Linked DNA regions of Schizosaccharomyces pombe. The gene in region 1 interacts genetically with each later gene. Each region holds a gene or a part of one and is shown in the gene's direction. Other genes may lie near its edges.

Region 1 (3,763 bases):
TGTAAATTGTTGATTTGACAAAATCCTGGTATCATTTAGATAATAAAAATTTTTGAACAGGTTAAACATGTAGCAGAACCTAAAATTTTTATTTTAGAATTGAAAACTTACAGCCATTTATCTATATTAATACTCTGAAAACTCATTGTCCCCTCTTTGAAGACCAATTCAATTTTTCGCGAGGTGAGCCAGAGGGGAATGCTTATAGGGAGAGAGAGGAACTGCTAGCGTTTAACCACAACAATTTCAGAAAAGCGTTTATAAAAGTTAGCATGCTTATCAAAGTAAAAGTAAGATAAATTTATTTCTTTTTTATGTATACTAATATATAATCATAGACATTGACAGGGAAAGAGGTTCGTGTTTTAAATGTTGAAAACATTTATATGCAGTTATAATTCATCTATGTTTCTAACCAAAATATAAGATCGAATTAGACATTGATCCAAATGACAAGGTTTCTAGGATCAAAGAACGGGTTGAAGAAAAAGAGGGTATCCCTCCTTCACAGCAGCGTCTGATCTACGCTGGAAAGCAAATGTAAGCACTATGGGAACATCCATACAATGATTCTAACAAACATCACGTAGGGCTGATGATAAAAATGCTGAAAGTTATCATTTAGAAGGAGGCAGCGTCTTGCATCTTGTGTTAGCTCTTCGTGGAGGAAGTTGCTAGTTGTTGCATACTTTATTTATAAAGAAAAATTATGTATAAAAAATCATACTTTTATTTAACGCTATAAACGAAATCTTTTTACTGTTTTACTAATACTAAGAGTAACGAAATGAGAATTGAGTCGCTTTATTATTGCTCTGTTTCATTTTATGTGAATCTATTGATTTGTATAAAAATATTGCTTAAGCTTTTCTAAACTTAAGACGTTTTGGTGATCATGAATTTCAGCGATAAGATTGATTACTTCTTGTTAATTTATGAGTAAAGTAGTCGTAAAGAGACGTTTTGCACAGAAAAGTCAATATATAACAACAATTGCTTGCGCATTCCCATCTGATATCAAAGTATATAAAGCAGTAGCATGCGAAGCAAAACTTCCTCAGTACAACATCGAATGTAATTACCATAAACGCAAAATCTCTAGTAAGACTAAAAGAAAATGTTGTTTAAATAAAACTAACTGCAAAATGCTATGTAGCAAAAACATGGGCTGTTGTGGGAATCGAACCCACGACCACCATCACCCTAAGATGGTATCATACCACTAGACCAAACGGCCACATTGATAGGGGTGCCACTTAAACATATATAAAGGAAATATACATGTAAATCTATATAAATTACATTTTTAAGGAGGAAAGTATAATCAATATGCTTATAAATTGCCATTTCAATGTATTGATTCTCATTTTTCTATTTAAGAAGTTTTAAATTTTTTTTGTTTATGAGAAAGTGACATCGGCTTTAAGGAACTGCTCTATTTAAAAGCAAGAGAGATTCATTTAATTATAAATAGTCTGCATAAAGCCAAATTACTATTATAAAAATTAAAAAAAAATGATATTCTTTCTTAATTTCAAATTAATTCTGATAACCGGATTTTCGAAGTTTTATGTAATCTTAAGATTGAAGTACTAGTTTTTATAATCGTGAGTACAAAAAATCCATCCAAAAATCTTTGGGCTGTATATTTAAGAACAAATTAAAGTAACTTTAGTTTAATCAACAAAGGTAAGGATTTATAAACTTCATTAGGTGTTTTTTAAAGTTATTAAAAAAAAAAAAAAAAAAAAAAAAATCTCTCAAATTGTTCGGCTACAGATTTTTTGAAAGCTTCTATTTTCCAATAAGGATTCTAATAAAATATAATAAAGAGGGAAAAATGATGCTAAATTATAATTTTTTTTATTGGTTTCCCAAATTTTTAATCTTTTTTTATTGAATTAATGTTGTAATAATTTAAAAAATATTGTATTAAAGAGTAATGTTTATGATCGCAACTAAGCACTTTTCTCCGCCTGGCGGTAGTTCTAGCTTACTAAGTGCTATAATTTCACCTATTTAAATTTTTGATTAAAACCGTCAACCAAAATTATAATTCAAATGCGTGGATTTATTGCAAACTCTTTAAAGCCGCATATGAGATCTTTTGCTCTGCGCAGAAGTTTTACTAGCTCTCGTATTTTGAGAAAGGTGAACGCAGTTGAATCGTTTGGCGATTACAATACTCGAATTAGGTATGTATAGTCAATAATATATCATAGTAAAAAATAAAAGATAAAACTTTTTCGAATAGATCTCCTTGCTAATTGCTACTAGTGCTGACAAAGTTACCGTCGTTGATTTCTATGCAGACTGGTGCGGTCCTTGCAAATACCTCAAACCGTTTCTTGAAAAATTAAGCGAACAAAATCAGAAAGCATCTTTTATTGCTGTTAATGCAGATAAATTTTCTGATATTGCTCAAAAGAACGGTGTTTATGCCTTGCCTACCATGGTATTGTTTCGTAAGGGTCAAGAATTGGACAGAATCGTCGGCGCTGATGTGAAAACTTTATCTTCTTTGTTGGCAAAATATCAAGAATAGAATATGGGATATTGGTGTCCCCATTCGTAAATTGCTTGATTTACTTTCTCGATTCAATTTGTTGATTGCACTGTATTATGTCAAAACTAGGTTTTAAAAACTTGACACGGCTTATTTTATTTAAGATTTAAGATTTAAGGGTTTTTACTTTATGAATTTCATTATATAATTGCCGGACCAAATTTGCTGAAATCAAAAATATCCTTTCAGAAATACCTAATAGGGGAATGTTCAACTCAATTAACACAGGAAGCTACAAGAATGAGCTATTTTATAACAACGTGAGTATTTCTATGAGGTGATTAAGGAATAATTTTTGAGGTTCATAGATAAAGCATTAATATATCCTTTACGTTTGTGACATAACCATTCGATTTTGGATATTATTACACAGATACTGCTCTATTTATTCATTTAGACATAACACCATGAACGAGAATGCGTATATAATACACGGTTTTAAACCAGACAACAAAACATAATTTCAGGCATTAATCAGCAATAAAGAAAAATCTAATTATAGTTTTCGTTTTTAACAAAATTTGAGGCTCTAAATGTATAGTGTATTCAAGAAGTTATTCAATATCCTCAAAATAATAAATAGAAATTATGCGTTGAACACATAATATAACTTTGAAGGCATCAGTACTCTTTATTAAATCCAAAAGCTTAGGAATTGTATTTTCATCATTGCAACAACTTATTAATAAAGCGGCATACGCAAGTTGATGAGGATGTGCCATTAAACATAAACTGCTGGCATATGAATCGTTAACAATGCTCCTATTTCCTCGATCGTTAGAAAAATCTAATCGACTGTGATTTTCAATATAAGAAGTATACATACCAAGCAAACTCAAGCTGCTTTTGATTGATAATGCCATCATGAAATGCTTGCTCAAGAGAAGTGTAGGGATGGTGAACAATGAGAAATGCATCAAGGACTGAAATGATTTCAAATTCTATTTCGGAAATATTAGAACGACTAAGTTTAACTTTTAGGCTCCAGAGATCATTAGCCTCATTGCAAATTGTGCGAATGTGAACAGGGCATTCTTCCACTTTGCATGATAAATAAATGCATGTAGCCACTAGCGCCTCCAAAGAAAAACCCTTTTCCTCATTTTTTTTTAGCATGTAACGCCTTAATAAAACGATGGCTGTAGCTAAGACACGCTGCCGAAGCCTGAGCCTGTCTCCAAACGTTTGTACAACTAG
Region 2 (4,424 bases), on another chromosome or scaffold:
TCTTTGATTTTGAGCTTCGTACCATACTTGACCCATGGTTGCTTCATGAGGCCATCGTACTCCCTATCCAAATAGATGCTGCTAATTTTTTTCTTTGTTTCACCGTTGATAAGTCCACCTTTTTCATTGAGATAGACCACCTTTAGAGGCTTCAATACGCGAGCAAGCTCACCAGCAGTAATGTCGGCGTTGACATTCAACAATTGACCAGAAGCAGTTTCGGCCATAGACGTAAGAATAGGGAGGGTTCCAGCACGAATACTGTGTTCAATAGGAGCTTTGTTTACCTTGACAATCTTGCCAACATACTTGTATTTTTCTTTGTCGAGATACTCTGCCTGAAATACACCACCTGTAATGGGACGAGCACGAGTTCCCAACTTTTCCAAAGCATCTACAAGTTTCGCATTTTCCTCTAAGAAAACTTTACGAGCTACAGAAAGAGTCTCGGCATCGGTGATTCGAATACCATCGCTATACTCGGGTTCAACATTTCTGCTGGCAAGAATTTTGTTTAATTGGGGACCAGCGCCATGCACAACGATGGGATAAAGACCCACATGATTCAAAAAGGCAAGACTTTGTGCCAATGTGTCTAATTCGTCGGTGATAATGGCACCACCAACCTTGATAATAGCGAAACGTTGAGCTTCGAAGGAAGTAAAGTATCGTAGGTATTGCTCAACTTCACGACGGCTTCCGATGGAGGAAAGAATTCTAATGATGGCATCACGATCTTGTTCAATTGGTTTCGCGAGTGGGTTTAACGGTTGTTGTTGACCCGGGGCAAAACTGCCTTGAAAACGTTTGCTTGCAATGACTGATGCATTGGAACATAGTAAGCTCCTTTTCGTACAGTGTTTCGCTCCATTCCGTACAAGACCGGACTTGACAATTTGTTGCAATTCAATAAGCATTGCCAAATTCTAGTGATATTCTATGATTTACTGTAGTTGGTAGAAGGCAGTTTGGTTGGTTTCAAAATTGGAAAATCATTTGCTTCGTAAACGTAGCTATAATTCGTTAAAATTTGATTGCTGTATCTAGGGATTTGCTCTGGAGATAATCACTCAAAAAGATGAGATCGATAATGTTACTTGTTGGCTGAAAATTACATCGGAAACCAACAGTTTACATGAAAGTGCTGCAAACGTGAGACATGGACATTTAATGAATTAAAGCTATATAAATGACACTGTAAAAGCAACTCATTTGCCGACAATGAATCTATTTGTATATACATTATTTAATACTAGTCCTAACTGACACAGTACAATATTCATTATTTCTATGCAAGCCAGTTCAATATCTTGATTTATACATGAAAGCATTCTTTTGAAACAATATTTTGTTTTCTATTTGATTTCGCGTTGAATAGTCCCAATGACCCTGATGAGACAAAAGCACTTATCATAAAATTTATTATCTAAGATAATCTCGTTAAAAAAAAAAAAAAAAAAAAAAAAAAAAAAAATTTGGCAAGAAGCCCTTCTCTTTCGTTAAAACTTGTTTCGCTTTATGCAATACTGTAAGTGTAAGCTTGTAATATAGCGAATCTGTGAACTCATTGTTCATTTCATGGTAGTTGTTGATTTCACAAGCATGCTGAGTTATCAATATAGTAACACAATTGGTTTTATTTCAGCTCGCTTGAATATAGTGTCAAGAGATAATTGAATAAACAAAAAAAATAACTACACGTTTTTTAGATACATTTTATTTACAATGTATTGGTTCTTTAAAGAATGGGTGGTAAATAAAAAAAATATTACAAGGTCGAAAAAAATTCATCCCTTTTCATTAGTTCTATAATTAAATGCTAAACCCATGAATATTCTTTTACTGCTAATCAATTAACGATTTTGGTATTTAAAAGCTATTGCTGATAAGTATTCTGACGTTCTGTATCAATATTACCATGAATAACATAAGAAAAAGAAAGGAAATAGAATGTTTATGAGTAGTTTTTAATTTTTGACTTGTTTTATCATATTTCATCAACGTACTAGCTTGTTTGCAACTGAACTCTAGTGTACGATAATGTAAAAATTTTCCATCTCGTCGAAAATCCGCATACGATATATTACGGCGCCAATCTCGCAGTCTGAGAGAGAACTAGATATCGGCTATATGCAATCTCACCCTGAATATCTAAGAAATTACCAGTAACTTGTGGGTTCCTTGTAGTCGACTACAAAAACCGTATTTTTGATATATTTAGTCGAGAAGAATTATTCAGTTTGCAATTGAAAATGTCTTTCAAAAAATTTCCTCGTCATTTACTATCCATTCGTGATCTTAGTCGCGGAGAGATTGTAAAGTTGATCGATCGGTCTTCTGAAATTAAACAAGCTTATAAGCAGAATTTTCAGAATCGCCGTTCTGTTCAAATGAGTGGTTTGTCGTCTCAGAATGTCGCCATGATCTTCAGTAAGCGTAGCACTCGTACTCGTGTATCAGTCGAAAGTGCTGTCAGTTGCCTTGGCGGCAATGCCATGTTTTTAGGTAAAGATGATATCCAATTAGGAGTGAATGAGTCTTTATACGATACTTCAAAAGTTATATCAAGTATGGTTTCTGGTATTGTTGCTCGCGTAAACAAATATTCAGATGTTGCTACGCTCGCTAAACATGCCTCTTGTCCTGTTATTAATGGTCTTTGTGACACGTTTCATCCTCTCCAGGCGTTAGCAGATTTACTCACTATTAAGGAAACTTTCAAAAGCTTTGACGGTTTAAAAGTTGCATGGGTAGGTGATGCCAATAACGTTTTACATGATTTGATGATTGCAAATGCCAAGGTTGGTATTCATACTAGCGTTGCTAAGCCCAAGGACGTCAACGTTCGCGACGATATTTTATCAATCGTTAACGAAGCTGCGAACGAAAACGGTTCTACTTTTGAAATTGTTAACGACCCCAAGGTTGCTGTTAAAAATGCTGATATCGTCGTTACCGACACTTGGATTTCTATGGGTCAAGAAGCTGAGAAGGAACAACGTCTTAAACAATTTACAGGATTCCAAGTCACCGGAGAGATCATGAAGCTTGCCAAACCTAGCTGCAAATTCATGCATTGTTTACCCCGTCATCCCGAGGAAGTGTCTGACGAGGTATTTTATGGAGAGAACAGTTTAGTTTTCCAAGAAGCAGAGAACCGCAAATGGACCACTGTTGCTGTCTTGGAGGCTTTGCTTGTCAACCGTGGTGAAATTCTTCCTCCTGCCTCAGCCTAAACTGAAATCCTTAATTTCATTTTTATCTGGGGAATGTGCAAACAATGCCAACTTTATAATTTTTTTTATTGGGCGTGCAAATTGTGATATTCATTTTTGAAATTTTATGTACTTTGTTTCACAAAAAGAAAATTGACTTTTGAGAAAATTTTTTAATTGACAATTACTTTTCAGATTTTTTATGCGCAGGACACAGGCTTCTAAAGACGTACTTATACGTTAAAAAAGGGGATGGATCAATTTGGCTCATTAGTCCAACAAGCTTTGTGTAAAATTATTACCCGCTTAATGCTATCCTCTTAACTAGATATTTCAAGGTATCAAGCAATCATAGTATTAAGCACTATTATATGCAAAATACAATTTAAAATTAATAGAAACTACAAATAAGCGCAACACTCATAAGGAAAAAGCTTTGGGACAATAAAGCTTTCGTCAATGCGGAATCTACGACAGAAAGAAAACTTAGTGTAGGCATCGAAATTTATTATATTTCAAGCATGTATGCTAGTAAAATAAAACGTAAACTCATTGATTCAAGAAATCTATAGAAAAAAAAGATCTGGGCAAGTAGAGTGTGCATCATCGAAATCCGGCTTCTTTCATAAACTTATCGTATTGCTCTTTAAGTGCTTTGCTTTTATCAATAAATGGCTTTTTCTTGTCTTCCGCCAATTCCTTCCACGCCTTTGATGCATTTTGGGTCTCTTCAACGAGTGTGGAAATGGCTTCTGGAATACCTAACTCTTGACGTAGCTTGGGATTGTTTCGAAGCTCCTTGTAAAAGAGGATAAAAGCAGAAGAAGGTTTTTTAGGAACATCTGGATGACGAAGTCTGTAATAGCGACTGCCCGTGCTGTGAGCCTCCTTCGAGCGACGACGATTTTCACTATCGATTTCTGTAGGTGTAAAGGATCGTAGAGTCTCCATAAAACGCTTTTTCTCAGCATCGAACTGCTCCTGGAGTTTGTTTTTATACTTTTGGATCTCATCGGCAGTCAAAGCTTTGTATTTTTGACGAATCATCTCAAAGCGCTCAGGACCATTACCAGCACCTTTTGTTTCAACCAACATTTGATTCCAAATGGTTTTCAGCCTAGGGGGGATCAACTTCTGTAATCCATTCTTTTCGGCAGAAACGAGAGTAGTGTGAAACTGGCGTATTCTAATTGCAAATACCATTTTGTG

What was found.
Region 2: of trx2 (region 1) and arg3, extra expression of one rescues a mutant of the other (dosage rescue), as found in Schizosaccharomyces pombe (one study listed by BioGRID).

Annotation. Positions count from the first base shown.
Region 1 is NC_003423.3:2,316,766-2,320,528, reverse strand, and holds trx2 (thioredoxin Trx2), read left to right. Parts: upstream 1-1,998; 5' UTR 1,999-2,061; coding exon 2,062-2,195; intron 2,196-2,251; exon of another isoform or gene 2,252-2,277; coding exon 2,278-2,545; 3' UTR 2,546-3,120; downstream 3,121-3,763. Other genes in the region: ATP-dependent RNA helicase Spb4, read right to left, coding at 112-146; ubiquitin-like protein modifier for cullin Ned8, read left to right, coding at 273-290, 339-356, 428-540, 591-678; cyclin CycC-like Srb mediator subunit Srb11, read right to left, coding at 3,121-3,328, 3,393-3,759. UniProt on the Schizosaccharomyces pombe protein: Disulfide reductase which serves multiple functions in mitochondria, protecting mitochondrial components against thiol-oxidative damage as a thiol-disulfide oxidoreductase, and supporting urea cycle and respiration in mitochondria in a manner independent of active site thiols.
Region 2 is NC_003424.3:2,271,760-2,276,183, forward strand, and holds arg3 (ornithine carbamoyltransferase Arg3), read left to right. Parts: upstream 1-2,161; 5' UTR 2,162-2,252; coding exon 2,253-3,236; 3' UTR 3,237-3,757; downstream 3,758-4,424. Other genes in the region: arg11 (N-acetyl-gamma-glutamyl-phosphate reductase/acetylglutamate kinase), read right to left, coding at 1-917; cmb1 (cytosine-mismatch-binding protein 1), read right to left, coding at 3,819-4,418. UniProt on the Schizosaccharomyces pombe protein: Ornithine carbamoyltransferase involved in the synthesis of arginine from glutamate via ornithine and the urea cycle.